Linked DNA regions of Macaca mulatta. The protein of the gene in region 4 interacts with the protein of the main gene of each other region in a biochemical or structural test. Links are inferred from orthologs where the notes say so. Each region holds a gene or a part of one and is shown on either strand. Other genes may lie near its edges.

Region 1 (4,166 bases), on a different chromosome or scaffold from region 4:
TGAATTCCCATCTCTACCAAATATACAAAAAATTAGCTGGGTGTGGTGGTGCACACCTGCTAACCCCAGCTACTCAGGAGGCTGAGTCACGAGAATTGCTTAAGCCTGGGAGGCAGAGGTTACAGCGAGAAGAGATTACTCCACTGCACTCCAGCCTGACAGAGTGAGACTCTGTCTCAAAAAAAAAAAAAAAAAATTTTCTTCTCAGAAAAGTAAAACTACACCTGACGCTGACACTCAAAGTGGTAAGAGTCAGTTCTCACTGGTGAGAAATTACTGCCTCCCAAAGTCTACCTTATTAGCAAAAGTAAAATTACCAATTATGACTACCATTATCCACAGGCTAATCTAGAAAGCACAGGTAGGTGCCAGCAATGCTGACAAGCCAACAAGCTTCTTGGTATCCTGGTCATATTGCTTATTTCTCAGGAGATTTCCAGTCCTGAGTGTACTGGGCTTTGCTACCCTTTTTTTTTTTCTCCTTGAGACGGAGTTTTGCTCTTGTTGCCCAGGCTGGAGGGCAATGGCATGATCTCGACTCACTGCAACATCCACCTCCCGGGTTTGAGTGATTCTCCTGCCTCAGCCTCCCAAGTAGCTGGGATTACAGGCATCCACCACCATGCCTGGCTAATTTTGCATTTTTCATAGAGATGGGGTTTCTCCATGTTGGTCAGGCTGGCCTCGAATTCCCGACCTCAGGTGATCCACCCACCTCCACCTCCCAAAGTGCTGAGATTACAGGTGTGAGTCACCGCGCCTGTCCTACTTTTAAGGGTCAAAAGCCTTCTAATGGCTTTCAACTGATAGGTTACTAAGATCGCCAGGCCATCTCTAATAGGAAAATAATGGTACCATAATTACGTAGCTCTGTCACCCCAAAAGTGTTCTGAGCTTCCATATGGGCTTAAGGAGCAAAATAAATTCAATAGGTAAATCCTAAGACTTTTTCACATTCACTGTAGGGTTAGACTCTCTGGTCTGGGTTAGCAGGTCCAAAATGAGCTAATTATAGTGTCCCCCATTCTGCCAAAACGCTATCTAGAACTTGCTTCATTTCCCAAGAGGTTTCCTTACCCTTTCCCCAGCAGCAGGAGAAGCAACAGCCAAGTAAGACAAGCATCTCCCAAATGCTCAGCTAGTACTTGCCACTCGGTGCCTGGAAGAACCAAGGTAAATCTCACAAGTTACACTTTGTGCCAACCATGAAAAATAATGCCCAGCAGGCCAGGTGCAGTGGTTCACACCTGTAATCCCAGCACTTTGGGAGGCTGAGTCAGGAAGATCACTTGAGCTCAGGAGTTCAAGACCAGCCTGGGCAACAAAAGGAGACACCGCCTCCACTAAAAAATAAAAAAAGATTAGCCGGGTGTGGTGGTGCACACCTGTGGTCCCAGCTACTCGGGAGGCTGAAGTGGGAGGATTGCTTGAGCCCAGGAGAGGCTCAAGCTGCAGGGAGCCTTGGTCACACCAGAAGACTCCAGCTTGAGTGACAGAGCAATATCCTGTCTCAAAAAAAAAAAAAAAAAAAAATTACATACAGCAAGCCAAAACCATCCTAAAGCTTTCCTTTCCTTTAGGTGCTATCAGCTTTAAATTATCCGCAGGAAAAACTGAGTTCTTTGCAGAAGTCAAGGTCACTTGTGGGACTGTCCCCTGCTTGGATTAGAGGGCTGGGACTCCCTCAGCACAGCAGTTTCTGTCTAAAAGGGCCAAGTTACCTAGAACTAAAAGTACTGGCGATTTGAAATTGAAGGCATCATTACCTGCAACAGTATTTCTATGGCCAATACCAAGTAAAGGACCCCAAAGAAGGAGAGAAAGTTCCTGGATAAAGTAGACTTAAGATCAACGGCAAAACCTGGGTAAGCAAGTAGTATGATGGTCATGTGACCTTGGCATTACTATCTCTTGCCGAGGATCTTCCTTTATTGGCCTGCAGTTTGGCGGAACCACCTTTCTGGTTCTTTCTCCAATCATATATGATAGTCATGCAGGAGGCTGTACAGAAATGCTCCACCTCACCCAAGCTCCTCCTATATAAAAAGTGCAAGAGTCCCAAGGACAAAGAGGAGGGCCTGAAGGACCCATTCTTGTGCTCGGCGTGGTCACCGAAGGTTTAAATAATAGACTTGGAGAAATGGAAACAGGCAGTTCGGGAACTGACAATGCCCTTCCTATAAAGCAGAGGACGAAATTAGCCACTGCTCCAGAGTGAGCACATCTCTTCACTCCCGCTCCCTCCACCAAACTGAATGTAACTCCAGAGGAACACTACATCTCTTCTCTACCAGAGGTTCCTGTCTCAGCTCCTTCCTATTTCAGGGCCACGCATCCCCTCCCCTTTCATTTCAGACATGCGGGGTGACAGCAGGGTCGGCCGCCTCACGCGCCCTAGACTGCTGGCCGAGGGCGGGCGGCGTACACTTCACCCCCAGGAGACAGAAGGGAAGCGCGGCACATGGTCCCGGGAGCTTCACGCAGGGCTGGCGGCCAGCCAAGCGCAGGGCCCTTTAAGGCGCGCAGGGTGCGCACGGGTGTGGGAGGGAGACCCCGGCGCCGGAGGGCCTGCGGTCGCCTCAGCCCCACCCTGGGACGGCGTGCTCCCTCCCCTCGCTGCTCACCTTGGTTCCTAAGAGCCGGGCGGCCGCAGTGAGTAAAGCCATGGCGGGCGATCTCCGGGATCTGATGGGGAGGTAAGAAGGGGAGAGAGCTGCGGCAGGAACAGGAGCAGCCGCCGCTGCACCAGAGGCCGCGCCGACGGGTGGACAAGGTTGAAAGGAGGCGGCTGAGGGAAAGGGTAGACGAACCGGCGGCGGCGCCCAGCCCGGGGTCCTCAGCGAGGCCCCGCCCACCGGCCGGAACCCGAGCCCGCCCCTCTCAGGGGACTCTCCCTGGGCCCGGCCATTGGTCCGGTATGGAAGCGGGGCGGGACCTGAGCCCTTGACAGCAGTTGTGACGGGGAGGATTGGACCGCCCGGATTAGGGCTAATTAAGGGTGTATGGGTGGCGGGCGGGGGAATGCGGGTGGCCAAGTAGGTGCCTGAGAACTCAGTTAACTTCCCTCTTGGCTTTTCCCTTTGACCTTAACACATTTGGGGTTATCTCTGAGGCGAATACTGAAGGAGACGCTCCAGGACTCGATCTTTGAAGGTCCTTGAAGCCAATTCCTTAATAAGCTATCATGGAAACTGATCATTGCCTGCTCCTCCTACCGCCTTGGCACGCTTTCTTGAGGCATGTCTTTGGTTAATGGCTTCATGGCCATGGAGGCGACATCATGTGGACAACAGGCTGTGATGCCAGAGTTAGTTGCTTGGTGGAGATCATTTGAGGTCAGCAGAGGCCACGACATTATAGATACTAACAGACCCCGATATGGGTAGAAAAGCAAAAGCAGGAGCCTGAATATCTAGTGCTTTGTGAGCTGTCAGTTCTATGTATAATGGCAGGAAATCCAAGTCTTAACAACTGCCCCCTTACTATGAAGGCTTACAAAGCCGGCCACAGTCTCTGGGTCATGGGCATTAGTCTCACTGCCACTCTGGTCACGTAACTCCACACAGCAGCCCACCCCACTCTAGACATACATTAGGAGCCGCAGACTAACCCCTCATCGAAGATCCCCTTTCCTCACATCATTCTCTAGGGCCTCTGGGCCACTTCCACTTGGCAACCTTTTTTTTTTTTTTTTTTTGGAGACGAGTCTTGCTCTGTCGCCCAGGCTGGAGTGCAGTGGCGCGATCTTGGCTCACTGTAAGCTCCGCCTCCCGGGTTCACGCCATTCTCCTGCCTCAGCCTCCCGAGTAGCTGGGACTACAGGCGCCGGCCACCACACCCGGCTAACTTTTTGTATTTTTAGTAGAGACGGGGTTTCACCGTGTTAGCCAGGATGGTCTTGATCTCCTGACCTCGTGATGCACCCGCCTCAGCCTCCCAAAGTGCTGGAATTACATGCGTGAGCAACCGCACCCGGCCACTTGGCAATCTTCTATGCTCTCTCATCCTGTGCTCCCCAGAGACCGTTACACGACCCTGAAGTGATATTCCGCACTACTTTCTAACTCCTCTGGGTAGACAAGGCTTCAGGACCTTTGTGCCTCCCCAAGCCTGTCGTAGTCATTGACCCAAGGGTAGAGGGGAACTGACCCAAGGACCAGGGCATC
Region 2 (4,051 bases), on a different chromosome or scaffold from region 4:
CACACCCCCATAGAAACCTAGGGTGTAAAGGAGAGTTATGGTCAACCTTTTTGCACTTTGAACTAAAACCTGGCTTGTGGACCTGGCCAGAGGACCACTCCCAAAGCTGTGAGTTGGCCTCAGAGTTGACCCAATGAGGAGAATGGGGAGTGTTGGAGAGAGGCCAGTGAGAGGCCTGAGGATCAGCCACTTCAGCCAATGGTTAAAGCCAACCTCAGGCTGGGAGGCTGAGTCCTGTAATTGATTTGGGATCTAGTAGTAAATCTCTTTATGGGCCCTCATTTTCTCCATGGATATAATCATTGCTGGGCTGCTGTATTTTAAGATGACTTTAGTGGGAAGGAGAGAGGAGTTAGGAAACTAGGTATCATCTCCCACCCATCATTGGCATCCAGAGTCATCCTTCCTTTGTCCAACAGGACATCCTGAGAGATCCTTCCTTTGACACCACTGGAGCTTGTGTGGACCTTTCCCCTACAAACTGGGTTTTTTCTGGTCAGTCACTGCTTCATGGATGAGCACAGGCTTGGGGCCTGCTCTGTGCAGCATCTCACCCCTGCCCTGTTGGATGTGATGGGGGTGGGCTTACCTTCCATGGCCCCAGGGACCCCTGCGTAGGGTTGGTCTGAGCCATCTTCGTGGTTGGAAGGGTTTCTGGAAGACAGAGCACACATGAATGAGGTGGCCTCTGGGGAGGAGGGTGAGGTGACGGAATGCCTTGAAAGGTAAAGGAGACTTGAAGTCTGCAAGACAGACTTTGGTTGGAATTCTGGCTCTGCCGCTCACTAGCTGTGCCTCGGGATTTTGTTGTTGTTGTTGTTGTTGTTGTTGCTGTTTTGAGACAGGATCTTGCTCTGTCATCCAGGCTAGAGTGCAGTGGCACAATCTCACTTGACTGCAACCTCTGCCTCCTAGGCTCAGGCGATCCTCCTGCCTCAGCCTCCCATGTAGCTGGGACTACAGGCATGCACCACCATGCCCGGCTAGTTTTTGTATTTTTAGTAGAGATGGGGGTTTCACCATGTTCACCAGGCTGGTCTTGAACTCCTGACCTCAAGTGATCCACCCACCTCGGCCTCCCAAAGTGGTGGGGTTACAGGCGTGAGCCACCGCACCCAGACTGAGCCTCAGTTTTTCCATTGGTAAAGCTTCAACGTGCAGAGTTATTGTAAGGATCAGAAACAATAGGCTGGGCACAGTGGTTCACGCCTGTAATCCCAGCACTTTGGGAGGCTGAGGCGGGTGGATTACCTGAGGTCAGGAGTTTGAGACCAGCCTGGCCGATGTGGTGAAACCCTGTCTCTACTAAAAATACAAAAATTAGCCGGGTGTGATGGCACACACCTGTAGTCTCAGCTACTCGGGAGGCTGAGGCAGGAGAATCACTTGAACCTAGGAGGCGGAGGTTGCAGTGAGCTGAGATCTCGCCACTGCACTCCAACTTGGGCAACAGAGTGAGACTCCATCTCAAAAAAAAACAAAAGGATCAGAAACAATAATGCAGGTAAAGCACTGACAAGCATTGTAACCCCGTCCTCTCATTTGCTTTCAGGTGACAGCATTGCCTCTGTCCACAATATAAACTCTCTGGCAACCGCCTAGGCCAGACCCCTCATGTGACTGGCCAAACAGCCAGCCATGCCAGGATCCCAAGCTCCAAACTCCCTTGTAACCCTTCACGGTCTCATCCTTATCTGGCTCCTTTCTTTCTCTCTCTCTCTCTCTCTCTCTCTTTCTTTCTTCGGAGTATTTTTGTATTTTTAGTAGAGACAGGGGTTTCACTATATTGGTCAAGCTGGTCTGGAACTCCTGAGCCACCGTGCCTGGCCATTCCTTTCTGCTTTTCTATCTCCTAGGTCCTACCCAACCTTGACCTTGCCTCCTCAGATGCTTTCCTGCCTTCTCCAGCCCACAGCCACTTGCCTTCTTTCTTGATTTCTGGCACTCATCACAGTACCAATCTCTATTCTGGTTGTTGGATGTCCTGGTGAGCACCTCAATGGCAAGGCCTGGGTCTTCTAGGGGATTGGTATAGCATCATGCTGAGCACATGTGGGGATGAGGGATTGGGAGACATTGAAAAAGACTTATTGAAGGAAAGTGAAGAAGAGTTACAGTAGTTAACACTCAACAATGGCTATCTACATGTCTGGCCCTGTTTTAAATGCTTACCTGCATTCACGCATTTAATCTTCACACAAAGCCTATGAATTAAGAATCATCATTATCCCCATTTTACAAATGAGGATACTGAGGCTCATAGAGGTTAGGTAGACAGTAAAGATGGTAGGATGAGTTTGAAAAAAGGAATCACAGAGCAAGAAAGGGGAAGGAAAAGAGCCGGGGGGAAGGGAAGAAGGAAGACAGGCAGGTGTGTATTAGGTTTCTTGACTTAGGACAGATATTCATGGCCCTCCATCTGGCTGGTATTGGGCCCAGGAATGATGCGTGTAAACTCTGTAATATATCTTTCCATTCTCAATCTCTGAATAAGCAACATTTCCCAGGTCCTGCCCCCATACCTTCTCCCTGCTCATTTCTTGGGGGCTCATGCCCACCCCCCAGCCTTGGTTGCTAGGGCAGTGGTTATTGCTATATAAGTGACTCCTCTTGGGATGACAAGAGAAGGCTGCCTTCCGCCAGAGTTCCCCAGTCTTCTCCAGCCACCCTAGAAGGCTCTACACACTAGGCAGGAGAACTGGGCCCTCTCCTGGTCATGTCTCTGCAGGGCAAGGAGAGGAAGGGCAAGGGCACCCTGAGGGCCTTACTCACCCAGCTCCTGCTGCACAGTCTGGGTCTCCATCTGGTGCCACTTGCTCTGTGGCCCCCCTCTTTATAGCCCTGTGGCCTCTGGCCTCTGGCCCTGTCAGCACTCTGCTGTCCCTCTGCCTTTGTTCCCCCTGATCCCCAGAGCTTTGGTGGTTCAGCTTGCTGGGCAGGCATCCCTTGGGCCTTTGTTTAAACCAGGGATACAGAAATCCAGAGAGGCCCCTCTGTTGTGGGCATGGCTGGCTGCTGCAGGCCTTGGCTGCTCTAGTCTTTCTTAATCTTAGAGCAGCTAGGGGGTGAGGACAGAGGTCTCTGCCATGAGTATTTGTCTCTTGTCCTTCTCCAGGTTCCTCACACCACCTTAGGATCTTCCTAGACCCTGGGAGACCCCATGTCATATCAAACACATCAAAATGCACCTCACTTCCATACAGGATATGCATTTCTTGTTGTTTAAAAATGTGAAAGAATTATTATAATTCTGAACTCTATTGAGAAAAAATGGTTCATTGTATTCTTGGGAATCTTTTTTATGCTGTATTTATATATAACTATGTAAGAGTTGACTTCAATTGTAGTTGACTAGCAGACATGAGTCTCTCTGTAGCTATTTTATTAAATATTCCTTTTACTTTTGTAATTTTCTTTTAAAATTTTGGAGCTATAACTTTTGGGGTTTTCAAAAAAGAATTAAACCATTTATTGAATAACTCCTATATATTAGACATGTGTTAAATGCTTTACTTGAAAGGTTTGAATTAAATACTTTTCCACAAGAAAAGAAAGAAATACTTTCCCACAGCCACCACAACAGTGCTATTTTCACCTCTTTTCCAGATGAAGAAACTAAGACAGAGAACGATCAAGTGACTTGCCTAAGGTCACAATATTTATAATGGCAGAGCCCAGACTCAAACCCAGTTCTAAAGTCACTGCCCTGCACTGGCCCTCCCTCAGGAGTAATGCATAAATGGCCCAGAAAATTCCGGGAGAGGAAAGAGACCTCCCTGGCTAGAACTGCAATTCTGAATATAAACACTGAGCATATAAGGGTTGCAACTTTATCTGTTTCAAAAGGGGAAGGAGCCTAGAAATGAAGCAATTTTTCCTCCTCAAATTACCTTGACTGCCTGTCCCTTTGTCTTTAATGTTAATTCCTTTCACCATTCTGCTCCCAAACAGGCCAGGTCCCATGTCAGTTCCAGGAGGAAAGGGCTCTTTCAGCCTGCGGGCCATCGTTGGGCAGCAGTAGGAAGGGGAAGAAGGCAACCCTCTGAATACC
Region 3 (4,192 bases), about 110 Mb from region 4:
TGTTCGATGAAATCGTGCGGGGTCATGGCGGCCAGGTTCCACTTGAGCTTGTTCACCAGGAGCAGCTCCATTTGCTGCGAACACAGGGTGAGCGGCCATCAGGGGAGGTGCGGGCCGGCCCGGGGGCGCGGGGAAGCCGGCAGCATGGGGGCCCGGGGCCATGCAGCACCTCCGGCTCAGAGCACTGGCTCCTGCGTCTCGTGCGGTCCTGGAGGTGGGAGGGGAGGGCTGGCGAATGATGGGGGTGGTATCGGGGAGCCGGGGCAACACGCGATCCCAGATCAAAACAGAAAAGGTGCCCGCTGCGTGAAAAGACTCTGCAAGTGGAAACAAAAAGACCTCCCACCACCTGAAACAGGAGGCTCAGTGCGGAGCGCGGCGCTCCTCGTGCAGCCGCTGGAGGGCGCGCGCCGCCCACTTTTCGGCCACACTGCCGGGCGCGAACGCGGTGGGAGTCGCAGGCAAGCGACTTGGGGGCGGTGGGACGGGGGCGGCTAGGATCCCGCCCGCTCCCGGGACAGGGACGCCCGGCGGCGGGGCCGCCCTCCCTGGGAGCAGATATGCCAGAGGCGGGCCGGCCGCCACTGCCTGCACCTTCCCCGGCCCCGTGATCCTGCGTGCGACTCTCGGGGGGCAGGGGGCGGCGGGGTCCCGCGGTTACCAGCAGCTCTTCGGGCCGGATGGAGTTGTCGGTGTAGATGCACAGCTTCTCGGCCGTCAGGGGGATGGTCTCCTTCATCTTAGAGGCCACGAACATGCAGGTGGCCCCCAGCAGCTGCAGGCGGCTCTTTTTCACGGGCTCCAGCGACAGGAAGCGGTCCAGGTAGTTCATGGCCAGCGGGAAGACCTCCTCCTCGCACTTCTGCTCCTCGCAGACCTGCGGAGGCACGGGGCCCGTGACCGCCGCCGCCAGGTCGCGCCGCCCCACCCCCGCCCCCGCACCCCCCCATCGCGCTCGGCAGGACCGCCAGTTCTGAAGGGCGCCGAGGGGTGGGGGCCGGGGGCGGAAGGACCTTCCTGTGATGCGCCCCCTCCCCCGCGCGTCCCCAGTACCCACCCTCCCCGAAACTGAAAGGGAAAGTCCCCGCGAGGCTGGCACGGTGGGGGCGGGAGCGGGCACAGCTGGGCGGCGTGCGCGGCGGCGCGGGCTGCCAGCCCTGGGGACCCCGGCCCGCCCTGGAGCTCCGTGGTCCCTCTGACTGAGGGTCGACACCCACTGGGGTGCGGGGCCGCGGAACGGGCCGCGGGGTTGGGCGCCGCGCCTGCGAGACACAAAGGTGGCGTCCCAGGCCGCCGCGCCGCATTTCCCCAGACGTCATCTTTTCAAAAAATATTTAAAAATATTAAAAAAATAACTAAGTGCATAAAAAAACCCTGAAAATGACCCTCGGGCGACCCTTTACCCAGGCCGAGGGTCGGGAGTTCGTTACAGGCTCCGGGGGGAGCCCCAGGAATTCAAACTCCGGGGCCCCCCTTCCCCCTGGGCGCGGGCGGCGTTTCCCTCTCGCAAGGGCACCACGCCGCACTTTCAAAAATTATTTAAAAATACTTGCGGGCCCCTCAGGCGCCCACCGAAGGTCTGAAAATGTGCTCCCAGGCCCCCGGCTCCCTCAGAGAAGGTCCCCCAAGCCGAGATCCCTGCAGACGGGGATCAAGCCCTGGCGTCTTGGGGGCCACGCGACCTTGCAGCTCGGCGTGCTCTCCGGCCCTGGCTGCCCATTTGGGGCGCCCCGGGACTCGCTGCTTAAACAAAGGGCCCCCCTTCCCGAGCGGGGTCCCCCCAAAACTCCCCATGCCGCGTCCCTGCGCCCCTCCCGCGGGCTCCCGGCGGCCGCGCGGCCCCTAGCTGCGGCCCCAGCGCCCGGCGGCCGCTCCCCGCCCCCACCCTGCCCCCAATTATTAATAAACACTTTTGCTTTGCAATAAAAGAGCAAAGATGGCGCATAATACTGGCACGAGCGGCCCTTGCATACGTGTCCATGGATATTAATTTAAAAATCAAATCTATGCCCCCTCCCCCCGGAGTTGGCGGCTCTCGGCCGCAGCGGCCGCGAGAGGAGGCGCAGCCGGGCTGGGGCGCAGGCGGGGGGCACAAAGCGCACTCAGCCTGCCAGCCCGCACCCTCGGGCCCATTGGGGTGCCCCGACACTGGCTTCTCCCGACGGCACCCCTCCCCAACCCCCTTCTCCCCTCCCACGAAACGCAACTTATAGCACCCCCACCCCCACCCCTTCCTGCTTCAGAAAATACCCACAATTTTTATTTTTAAAATGCGGATCCCTAGCAACACCACAGCAAACTTCAAAGTTCTAGCGGGAGAGAAGGGAGGGGGGTGAGGAGCAAAGAAACGTGGGTCTGGGCAACAAGTTGCAGGGAAGTCTTAAGAGAGCCGCCCAAAGCCCCGCACCTCCAGCATCCAGGTGGCGACGATCTTCCGCATGGACGGCAGGACCTCCTTCTGCACACATTTGAAGTAGGACACCGAGGGCGCGCAGGTCTCCTCCGCCTTCAGCATGGCCCGCAGCACCCGGTCGTTGAGGAGGTTGGCATCGGGGTACGCGCGGCGGATGGTTTCCACTTCGCAGCACAGGAGCTGGTGTTCCATGGCTGGGGCTCTGCCTGGGCAGCTAGGGAGGGCTGTGGGTCCGGGCTGGGTCCGCGCTCGGCTCTCGCTTCTGCTGCCCCGCGCTCCCTCGCGCTATTCTGCCCCTCGCCGGAGCGTGCGGACTCTGCTGCTCGCTGCTACTGCGCCGACAGCCCTCTGGAGGCTCCAGGACTTTGCAACTTCAACAAAACTCCCCTGTAGTCCGTGTGACGTTACTGTTGTTAAGCAGAGATCAAAGCCGGGCAGAGAATGGGAGCGGGAGGGGGGCGGGGGCGGGCGCAGGGGGAGGGGGCGCGGGCGCCAAACGCCGGGAGCAGCGAGGGGCAGAGCCCAAAAGCCATCCCCGAGGCGCCGCGCCTGCCCTGCGGCGGAGTTGCCCCCGTAGTCCGGTTTTCATAGAAATGCAAATCGCCCCGCTGCAGCCTTTCTCCCCGCCAGGGAAGAGGGGTGCAGGGGGCCCCGTCCGCCTCGAGTGGGTTCCCTGGGATTTAGGGGGTGAGGTGGTGGTGGCTCTGCAGTAGGGGACCACTAGGAAGGCCGGCAGGCCACACGCAGCCTGGGGAGACCACGAGAAGGGGGGACTCTAGGGCGCGGCGACACCCCATATCCAAGCCGGCAGAATGGGCGCATTTCCAAGAACGCCACGAGGGCACCCACGGGCGGACAGACGGCCAAAGAATCTCAGCGACTGCATCTTCTTTCATTTTCATTAACACGTGTAAATTTCAAGAACTATTTAGCATACAGGGACGGGGAGGACCGGGCACACAACCCCTGTGCAAGTTTCATTCCGGCGCACAGGGGCGTCGTTGCAAATGCCCAAGGGGGTAACCCTAAAAGTTAAAGGAATTTCAGCTTAGCATGCGCTCGCTCAAAAAATAAAATAAAATAAATGCCCGAAAATTCCAGCAGCAGCCCAAGATGGTGGCCAGCATTTCCTTCATCTTGTCCTTCTAGCCTGGAGACTCTTCGGGCTGCCTTCCTACCTTGACCAGTCGGTCCTTGCGGGGATCCCCAAATGCACCCCCTCCCTTCCCGTGCCGGCAATTTAACCGGGAGAAACACACGTCTGAATGGAAAGCTGAGAAACAGTGATCTCCGTTCTGACTCATTTTTTTAATTAAAAAAGAAATTAAATTGCTGGAAATATTAGTCGCCTCAGCCTGGGACAAGACCACTGGAAGGTTCCTAATTGGTTTTGTTGGGGGTGTAGACGTCCCTTCACCTTTAGAGTTTGCCCTGGGACTAAATTCGTGAGCATGAGGGGGCTGGCAGGAGCGGGCATAATTCAGAACAATTATCAATTAAACAAATGAGTGTACTGATCTGATTTTTAGCAAAATCGATAGGTGTTCGTGGTTTCATGAGAGGGTCCCCACTACCGCAAACTTAAGCAGATGTAAATTAAAATACATAGTTTTTAAAATAACAGGTTCTGTCTCTTTGGTGCATTAAAAAATAAAAGGACATTTTACTGTCTTAACTTTTGTTTTTGTTATTTTAATAGTACCTGCCCCAAATTAAGAAAACTGTTCATTTACTTCCTTTTGAATATAGTTTAGTGTCATCAAACCACCGTATCCTCTT
Region 4 (4,088 bases):
GATGAAACCATGTTCATCCTAACCCAAAAGAATGAGGAAAGAGGCAGAGAGATAAGAATATGAACTACTATCACCTGCCCAGAACTCAGGCATCCTGATTTCCCCTTAGGTGAGACCAAATGCCATGACAACATAGGAAAAATAAACAGTGCTTTGTTTCAGGGTTGTGGCTAAGATGAAGTTACCTAGGTAGTCACTCCTACCAGTGAGAATCTGAGAAGTCTGAAACAGTACAACACTTCATTGTTTTTCAAACCCTGAGGCATAGATATGTTTAGGAGTATTTCCCAAAGGTTTAGATAATGTTGACTGGGCCTACAGAATTTGGAATCTCATTTAGAATCTGAGTCCCTGAGGAAGCCCTGAAATTGTCCTGACTCTTCAGGAATGTCCCAGAAGGTTCCAGAACAATAGGACTGCTGCTGGGGAAAAAAAAAAAAAAAAAAAAAAAAAAAAAAGACTCCATCCAAGGAGACTATGACCCAAACCTAAATCATATGAGCAAAATTGAAACAGCCTGAGGACATTACTAAGGACAAACTGTACTGGTTGACGCACAGGTTCTGAGCTATCGCTGAGCTATCGTTAATTGGTGAGAAGGAATTTTAAAGCCCTCTTACAAAGTCATGAAAAGCTGTTCCATTCGTCAGAATTCCCCCAAAGAGTAGATGACCTTAACCCGTATGCCTGCTGACTCTCAAGCATGTAGCCAAACAGGCTCTCATTAACTGATTTCCGCATGGGCTATAGGGGATTAAAGACTGAGCACAGCTCTGAAATTTAGACAAACCAAGTAGTTCAGCATTAAGATGGGCTAAAGAAGAGACATGGATTCTTGCACAGCTAACAGAGAATTCACAACTCAAGTGCCTTTAGGGTACCTGTAGTTAATGTAATTATGCAAAGCAACTAGGTGTCTGACAGCCCTATACCTAAATCAGTGGTCCTCAACCTTGACTGTAGATTAGAATTACCTTAAAAAATGTTGATGCCCTGGGTCCCACCCCTAAAAATTCTGATTTAATTGGTCTGGAATATGCCTGAGCATTAGGTTTTTTGAAAGTTCCCCTGGTGATTCTAATGTGGCCAAGATTCAGAACCTCTGGCTAAGATGGGGCATCAACATCCCATCATCCCATCTAAGGCGATCAAATCAAACAAAGACCACATCTCTGGCCATAACAACAGTAACAACAGCAATAGGTCTATCCCTAACTTAGTCTTCTAGACATTGATTTGTAACCCCTGATCTAGACTATTATAGCTTGGGACTGGAATGTAGCCAGCCTCCAAAGCTGATAGCACTACCTGGACTATTACAGTATACACTGAATGAATGAGCAGAAAACAAAAACCAAGCTACATACCTGGCGCTCTTCATGTTTGCCATGCACCTCAATCACATCTCCCAACACCTTAACTTTGAGTTCCTCTGGGGAGAAGTGCTTCACATCCAGGTTGACAGAGAACCTGTCCTTCTCCAGGCGCATCTAGAAATAGCAAGGTAAGGGAATGGGACGGGAGAAAGATGGCGAAAGTACTCATTATACTGGTGTTGTCTTATTCTGCAGAGTTGCTTTCTGTCCAGGTAATTCATCCTTCTCTTTTCTGCTTTAAAATATCCCCTTTTTAAATAAACATGGCTCTCTGCTTCAGGGAGCCACCACAGTGATACCTAAGGCTCATGGTGATCAGACCCAAACTTTATTTACAGGGACAGAGAAGAAGACAGATCACCCAGGGGACCAGTCGCAAGGATGGGTGCAGGCCTGGCATCTGCTGCCTCTCTGGCTCCGATGCCTGGCTTTGTGGTTTGTCTGTGAGACAAAGGCCTCTTCTTCTGGCTCAGGTCTCTTTGCCAGTTTTCCACCCACCCAATCTGGAATGTTCTGCTGGTCCTGCTTGTCCTTCCAAAGCCCTTGCCCACTCATCTCCTGTTTACTCACACTCGAATATTTTTAAACCAGAGCGTTATCTGTGACAGCTTCTGTCAACCTTATATGTTCACCCTGTTCTCTCACCCTCTTAGGACGAGTGGGGGTCCCTATATTGTTTCCTCATAAGGCTTGGTTGGACCCAGGCCAATGCCCTGTCACAGCCCTGAGAAACCCAGAAAATCACAGAAGAGGGAATAAAAAGGCAGAAAATGCCCATGAGGGTGAACAGCTCAGGCAGGGTGAGGCAGGGCTCTCTCCTGGCTCTGACACCTGAGATGGTAAAATTGGTCAAGAGTCCATGGTGTTAGAAGAGATGAGCAAAGGAGTTTGAAGGCAGCTCTTTCCCTGCAGATTGTTATGAACCAAACCAGAAAGGGGTACCCTGCAGAGAAGTTAGGGGATGGAGGATGAACTTGACAGTGCATGAAAAAAATGTAATAAATGGGATACAGAGGACCATCAAGTAGAAACAGGTGACGGGGGAGGGAGGAACTAGCAACCTCCTCATTTTTCTTCACATTTGGATACACATGTGCCTAAAATGGTTTAGGCAGGAAAGGAGAGGAAAATGGATGGAGAAGTTTACAGGAGGTTCCAGTAAGGACTCTCCCATTCTAGCAGTGGGGAGACTCACCTCTGAGAGTCCAGTGTCAAACCAGCTGGGTGCCCGCAGGAAGGAGGGTGGCCGAAGGTAGAAGGGGCTCAGGGAAGTAGACGTCGGGAAAAGATCAGACTCCAACAGGTGCTCTCCGAAGAACTGGTCAAAGAGGCGGCTGGGGGAGTGGAAAGGAAAGAAGGGGCGGCGGATCCAGGGGTGGTGGATGGCGATGTCCATGGTGGCTAGGTGAGTGTGGGGGGTCAGCTGGCTGGTCAGCTCCTTCAGCTGCAGCTACAGCCAGCCCCTTATATATGCAGTCTTGTGAAGCTTCTGGAATGGTGATGTCAGGGGTTTTATTATCCTAGCTCACCGCCGGTTCATGGAGACTTGTGATCGGGGATTTGGCAGTGTGACACATACCCAGTACTCACTGAGCTAAGAAAAGAGAAACACAAACACGTCTGAGCCGGCCAGTGACTTGTCATGGTCTTGTTTCACTAGCTTTCTGTACACACCCAGTGGCACCCACCCCCACCCCAGTTCTCTGAAGCTGGTACAGAGTCAGGAATCCCAAGCAGGCACGCGGGCGGGTGGGGGGGCAGGCGGTGGAGTGTGCCCCTCCTCCTCCTCCTCTTCAGTCCTGAATGCCAGGGGAATCAGGCCAGCAACTATCTTGGGCCTGGGCAGGGACTGGAATCTTCCTAGGCTGGGCCCCAGGGACATTAACTCTTTGTGAGTCCTTGGAAGAGAGCAGTGATGGTCAACATGTCAGTACCAGCCATCTGCCTCCTGCCCTGGGTTGACCTGGGTTTAGGAGAGGACTCCGACATCTGGGCAGAAAGACCCCACTCCCTGAAAAAAAGAGCAGAAAGATTTCTTGCATCTTTCATCCTATGTGGCTCTCAGAACATTAAATCCAGGAGTGCTTTAGGAATTGGGTGCACAGTGCCGGCCTCCAAGGAGGAGAAAATGAGGTGTGGAAACGTGCAAACCGTTTGTGAGGGTCTCAGCGAGGCCTCTTCATGCCCCAGGCACCACCAGCTACCCCTTCTCAGCTCGTTCCTAACCAGGACCCTCAGCTGTCCTCTCAGGCCCCCTGCGACAGCTGAAGAGTGTGCGGGGGAGGGGACTAGGGGTCCAGGCGGCGCTGGTCACACCCTCGTTGCTCTCACTCAGGGCCCCCACTCCCCGCCCCTCCCCCCCAGAGGCTCGGCACTATTTTGGGTGGTGTCGACCCCGCCCCCACCTCCTATCGAGCCCTGGCTCTCCGGGCAGCTGGAGGGGTCGCGCTGCGCCTGTTGGGGCTGCACCTCGGACCAGGGCTCCCGCTGCATCTGCAGCCATGTCGGGCCGCTCAGTGCCACATGCCCACCCAGCCACCGCTGAGTACGAATTTGCCAACCCGAGCCGCCTGGGTGAGCAGCGCTTCGGAGAAGGTATGGCACAGATGCCACCCCCTTGCCTCCCACCCCCACCCCCTGAAATTCTGGGCTGACCTCCCAACGTTACTGGCCTCCACCCCACTCTGGGCTTAACTGATCTCCTGGGACCAG
Region 5 (4,169 bases), on a different chromosome or scaffold from region 4:
GATTATCCTAACCCATCAGTCATGAACCAACACCAAAGTGACATTTGGGGTTTACCTACCTACATAGAGAACACCCTCTTTTGTCTTTCCTGCTGCTTCTGCCACACCCTGTTTGGTTTTCTCAGCAGCAGCCACAACTCCCTCCTTGGCCTTTGAAAGTCCTTTCATGAATACATCCATGGCTAATGAATTCCTTTACACCACACTGGAGAACATAAAATACACTTTGAATGAGAACTTTTGGGGGAAAATAAACAAAAAACACTGAAAAATCATGAGAAACCCTCCAAAGTGTGAGACTCTTTTAAGTGTACACTCATTTAACCATTGGACAAAGCAGACATTTTTAGCTCTGGCATTAAAAATTTAGCATCTCCCATCCATCTTGGCTAGTAAAAGTCTAGCCACCTAACCATGGATTAGGATGAATCCTCTGAGTTGTTAATACTGCATTTCAGAAGTGGAGTTGCATGAAAAGAGTCACTCCTGTTTTAACTTCCCGGGGTCTAAAGGGTAACAGTGTGAGTTAGAAGCATGGAAGCTGGAGGCTTAGGGTCTGGGGCATCCTTAACATGAATCCCAGAAGAAGGCTAACAGGTTGATGGTGGAGAGGCGTAGGCAAGAGAACTAACTACTCACTCTGGGTGTGGTTCAACCTCAGGCAAACAGCGAGCCCAAGGGTGCTGGTTCTAATACATCCGAGCATCCACCCCCGCCCTCAGATATCTACCCTGAGCAGGCGGCGCTCACACTCGCGGGCCGTCTCTAACCCTGCGCCAGCCACCCGAGGGGGCGTTCTCAGCATCCACCCTAGCGGACCCCGCGCCAGCACTTGTTAACCCTTTACCACCTGTTGACTTGGCCTCCCTGCACTTCCATTTCATTATTTGCCAAAGGCAGCTTGCTTACTTTACAGAGAAAAACCAAGAGAGCGGGCAGACGGATTTCAGGTAAGAGAGAAATAAAAGTTGGATGCTTACGCTCCAGGGAGCATCCTCGCGTTTCCCGGGGAAAAGCGGATCCCGGAGACGCATCCTAATCTCTCAGCCCTTGGGGAGAAGCCCTTGACAGGACGAAAGCCAGGTCAAGTCTCTTTCCTTAGGCTCCCCAAAGGGACAAGTACTCACCTCCCAGAGACCTGGCACAGCAGGTCCTCACCGCAGCACCACCCCCTCCTGGTGCCCACGACCATTCCTCTCCCACCCGGCTTTCTCCAGGATTTCCAAAGACGCCCGTTTAGATCCACAGGTACTTACCTGTGTCCCTCTGCTTCTCCACAACTCCGATTCCTCCCTACCTCTCTTTAAAAAAAAAAAAAATTAAACAATTCCCAAATAATATTTAATAGGGAAGAAGGAGGAAAAGGAGCGCACAGGAAGGGCGGAGGCGGCACCGGGAGGGGGACGGTCCCCAGAGGAGGCCGCTGTGAGCCGACGACGGGAGGCTGGGGGCGTGGGAGGCAAACCCGCTAACCTGTCGTCGAATGGCCACTCCCAGTTCTCCGCTCACGAGGATGGAGAAAAAGGCAGAAGGTTTGAAGGGAAGGCGTGAGGGAGCGCTCAGGACGCTCTCGGAGGGGCCGGGCCGGGGTCTGCGCTGCAGCCCGCACGCACCTCACTCCCGCGTCGCGGCGCTCGGTCGCTCGCCCCCTCTCTCGGGCCCCTTCTGGTCGTCGCCGTCCTCCTCCTCCTCGTCCTCCTCCTTCTCCTTCTCCTCGGCTCTCCGCCCCCACCGCTGATTTGTCAGCGCCTCTCCACGCTCCCCTCCCAGCGCTCGCTGCTTTCCCTGCAGCGTGCTCTTCGTTCCCTATCTCGGATGGGGATGGGGCAGGGGGCGCAGGGTGAACCACCAATTCCAGCCGCCTGCCTGGCCGCGCAAGGCGGGAAAGTGGGGGCGCTTTTGCGCCTCACCTCAAGTTCAGGGTCACGGGCACTCTTGTGGCGATTGGGAGCGGTTGGGCTTGGGCTGACGACTCTCCCTCTTTCCCATTCCCCTCCCTTCCTGTCCCCGCCTTTCCTCCGGGTCCTCCCTGGGACCACCCCCTACCCCTCGTCAGAGTCGACCTGGGAGAGCTGAGGGCCTGAGGGTCGACCACCCAGAGCAGAGCCTATCCTTTGGGGAGACAGGCAGCGCAGGGAGGTGGCTCACACCGCACCGCCGAGAGCACTTTGCCCTCGCATCGCTGACATTTAATCACGGTCACAGGCTACGTTAAGGGTCGCTTTAGTTCAAATATCCTCAAGATTTTCGTTTGCTCTTAATCCAGGTCGAGCTCGAAAGGGTCCCGCGGGTGAATCGGAGACTACTAAGGAAGAGTTACAGGTTGAGGAGGCAGGAGGAGGCTCAGCAAATCCTCTTCCCACCCCACTATCACCATTTTCCTTTCCACCAATCAGCGCCTGCCAGACGCTGATTTTCCCATCAGCGGAACGAGGAATAAATATTCCCCAGCCGTCTAAAACAAGCGGTCCTAAGGCTTTTCGCTCTAGAAATGGGACTTACTTTGCAGACCTAAGTGCATGGTCTGGTAGACAAATCCAGCGTGATTTACCCTACCAGACCATCATATCCAATTTCTTTTTCAGCCCCTTCTGAAAGGGAGATGCTACACGCCACTCACCTTTCTGACTTCTAATTCTCGTTGCCCTCAGAATTGACATCCCCTTTTCTCTCCCCCGACCCACCACATGCACAGACACACAGACGTACACACGCGAACCTCAAGACAATTTTTGCATCGCTTAACACATTTTCACCTCTTTCAGAACTGGAAGACAGCTATTCCTGGATCACACCAGAATGGAGAAGCAAGCTCCTCCCACTAGCAGAAAGCCTTTGCTTTCTGTGCCTGGATTCCGAAGATTAGTTAAGCACTGGTGGGGGCCGGCGGGGGGGGCGGGGACAACAGCTCGTTTTTGCTGTGTTTTTTAAAAATTGTTTTTATGTTTGTAGCTAATGCTTTGTCTGATTCTTGCACTCATTTGGATTCTGAAATTTGAGTAAAATCAAATGTAAACATACAAAACAACTTTAAAACCACAAGGAATAGTAAACAAATGATTATACATGAAAGACATATAGAAGATAATGCCTATGTGTTCAGTGGAAAATAGAAAAACATGAAAGTAAGATTACAAATTTTTATTACTTAAACTCTTCCTTGAACTATTGGTCTGCCCTTTGGAAAAACAGACTTTCCATAACGCAGTAGCTCATATTAATAGTTTGTGTTTGCTTAGGACCAGAGCAAGAAGGTTGGACTTGGGAGCTAGTTTGTTGTCTGGCTTGGAGACCTTGAACAAGTTATGTTCTCCTTCTGTTTCCAGTTTTATTTTTTGTAAATGAGGAGATGAACTCAGGTGATCGCCCTATATTCAACTTTTTGTTATGGGAAATATTCAAACATACGCAAAAGTAGAAAGAATAAAGGACTCCCATGTGAATATCACCCAACTTTTACATTTTTTCTATGCATGGCATATCATGTCTCATTCATAAGTCCACTCACTTTATCACTACCAATCCTCCCTATTTTTTTTCACAAAATTCAAGCTTTATATACATCTTTTCAACTGTAAACATTCAGTATGCATCCACAAAATTTAAGAACTGTTTAAAAATAACCACAATGTCATTAGACGATTCTTTTAAATTTCAGTGTAATTTACACCTAGTGAAATGCTCAGATGTTGTGTCCCTTTAAATCAGTTTTGAAAAAACCATGCATTGGTGTAACCCACACTATTTTGAAGACACAGGACATTTTCATCACTCCAGACAGTTACCTTGCACCCTTCATGTGCATATTCTAGAATGTCATAAAAGTCTAATCACGTAGTATAAACTTTTTTATATCTGTCTGACTTCTTTTACTCAGCATAGTATTTGTGAGGTGATTCATGTCATTGCATGAATCGGTGGTTTGTTTTTTATTGCTTTTTGTTGTTTCTTTTTATTATTGTTAATAGTGTAAGTTTTCCATTGTGTCTTATTACAACTAGTACTTCAATAGGCTATTACAACAATTATTTAATATATTATTTCATATGACATATTTATAGTATAACAGTGACCTCTTTGAGACCTGGTGCTTTGAGTCAAATAGGTAAATAAAATGCGATATTTTAGGTCTCATTACCAGACCAATGTGAGATAATTATTTTTGGACA

The links.
Region 1: the proteins of CRYAB (region 4) and CS form a complex in vitro, tested with the Homo sapiens proteins (3 studies listed by BioGRID). The link is inferred for Macaca mulatta from reciprocal best matches to the Homo sapiens genes CRYAB and CS.
Region 2: the proteins of CRYAB (region 4) and CRYBA1 form a complex in vitro, tested with the Homo sapiens proteins (2 studies listed by BioGRID and IntAct, with this or other methods). The link is inferred for Macaca mulatta from reciprocal best matches to the Homo sapiens genes CRYAB and CRYBA1.
Region 3: of the proteins of CRYAB (region 4) and CCND1, one has a biochemical effect on the other in vitro, tested with the Homo sapiens proteins (2 studies listed by BioGRID, with this or other methods). The link is inferred for Macaca mulatta from reciprocal best matches to the Homo sapiens genes CRYAB and CCND1.
Region 5: the proteins of CRYAB (region 4) and SNCA form a complex in vitro, tested with the Homo sapiens proteins (4 studies listed by BioGRID, with this or other methods). The link is inferred for Macaca mulatta from reciprocal best matches to the Homo sapiens genes CRYAB and SNCA.

What each region holds. Positions count from the first base shown.
Region 1 is NC_133416.1:63,464,807-63,468,972, forward strand, and holds the start of CS (citrate synthase, mitochondrial), read right to left. Parts: upstream 2,807-4,166; 5' UTR 2,667-2,806; coding exon 2,625-2,666; intron 1,163-2,624; exon of another isoform or gene 1,078-1,162; intron 1-1,077. UniProt on the Homo sapiens protein: Key enzyme of the Krebs tricarboxylic acid cycle which catalyzes the synthesis of citrate from acetyl coenzyme A and oxaloacetate.
Region 2 is NC_133421.1:37,967,974-37,972,024, reverse strand, and holds the start of CRYBA1 (beta-crystallin A3), read right to left. Parts: upstream 2,809-4,051; 5' UTR 2,804-2,808; coding exon 2,773-2,803; intron 655-2,772; coding exon 590-654; intron 1-589. UniProt on the Homo sapiens protein: Crystallins are the dominant structural components of the vertebrate eye lens.
Region 3 is NC_133419.1:5,015,049-5,019,240, forward strand, and holds the start of CCND1 (G1/S-specific cyclin-D1), read right to left. Parts: upstream 2,810-4,192; 5' UTR 2,606-2,809; coding exon 2,408-2,605; intron 878-2,407; coding exon 662-877; intron 75-661; coding exon 1-74. UniProt on the Homo sapiens protein: Regulatory component of the cyclin D1-CDK4 (DC) complex that phosphorylates and inhibits members of the retinoblastoma (RB) protein family including RB1 and regulates the cell-cycle during G(1)/S transition.
Region 4 is NC_133419.1:112,657,532-112,661,619, forward strand, and holds the start of CRYAB (alpha-crystallin B chain), read right to left. Parts: upstream 2,806-4,088; 5' UTR 2,773-2,805; coding exon 2,572-2,772; intron 1,782-2,571; exon of another isoform or gene 1,713-1,781; intron 1,491-1,712; coding exon 1,368-1,490; intron 19-1,367; coding exon 1-18. Other genes in the region: HSPB2 (heat shock protein beta-2), read left to right, coding at 3,878-3,971. UniProt on the Homo sapiens protein: May contribute to the transparency and refractive index of the lens. Has chaperone-like activity, preventing aggregation of various proteins under a wide range of stress conditions.
Region 5 is NC_133410.1:99,154,544-99,158,712, forward strand, and holds the start of SNCA (alpha-synuclein), read right to left. Parts: upstream 2,810-4,169; 5' UTR 2,621-2,809; intron 1,977-2,620; exon of another isoform or gene 1,911-1,976; intron 1,678-1,910; exon of another isoform or gene 1,474-1,677; intron 1,302-1,473; exon of another isoform or gene 1,257-1,301; intron 774-1,256; exon of another isoform or gene 640-773; intron 206-639; 5' UTR 181-205; coding exon 60-180; intron 1-59. UniProt on the Homo sapiens protein: Neuronal protein that plays several roles in synaptic activity such as regulation of synaptic vesicle trafficking and subsequent neurotransmitter release.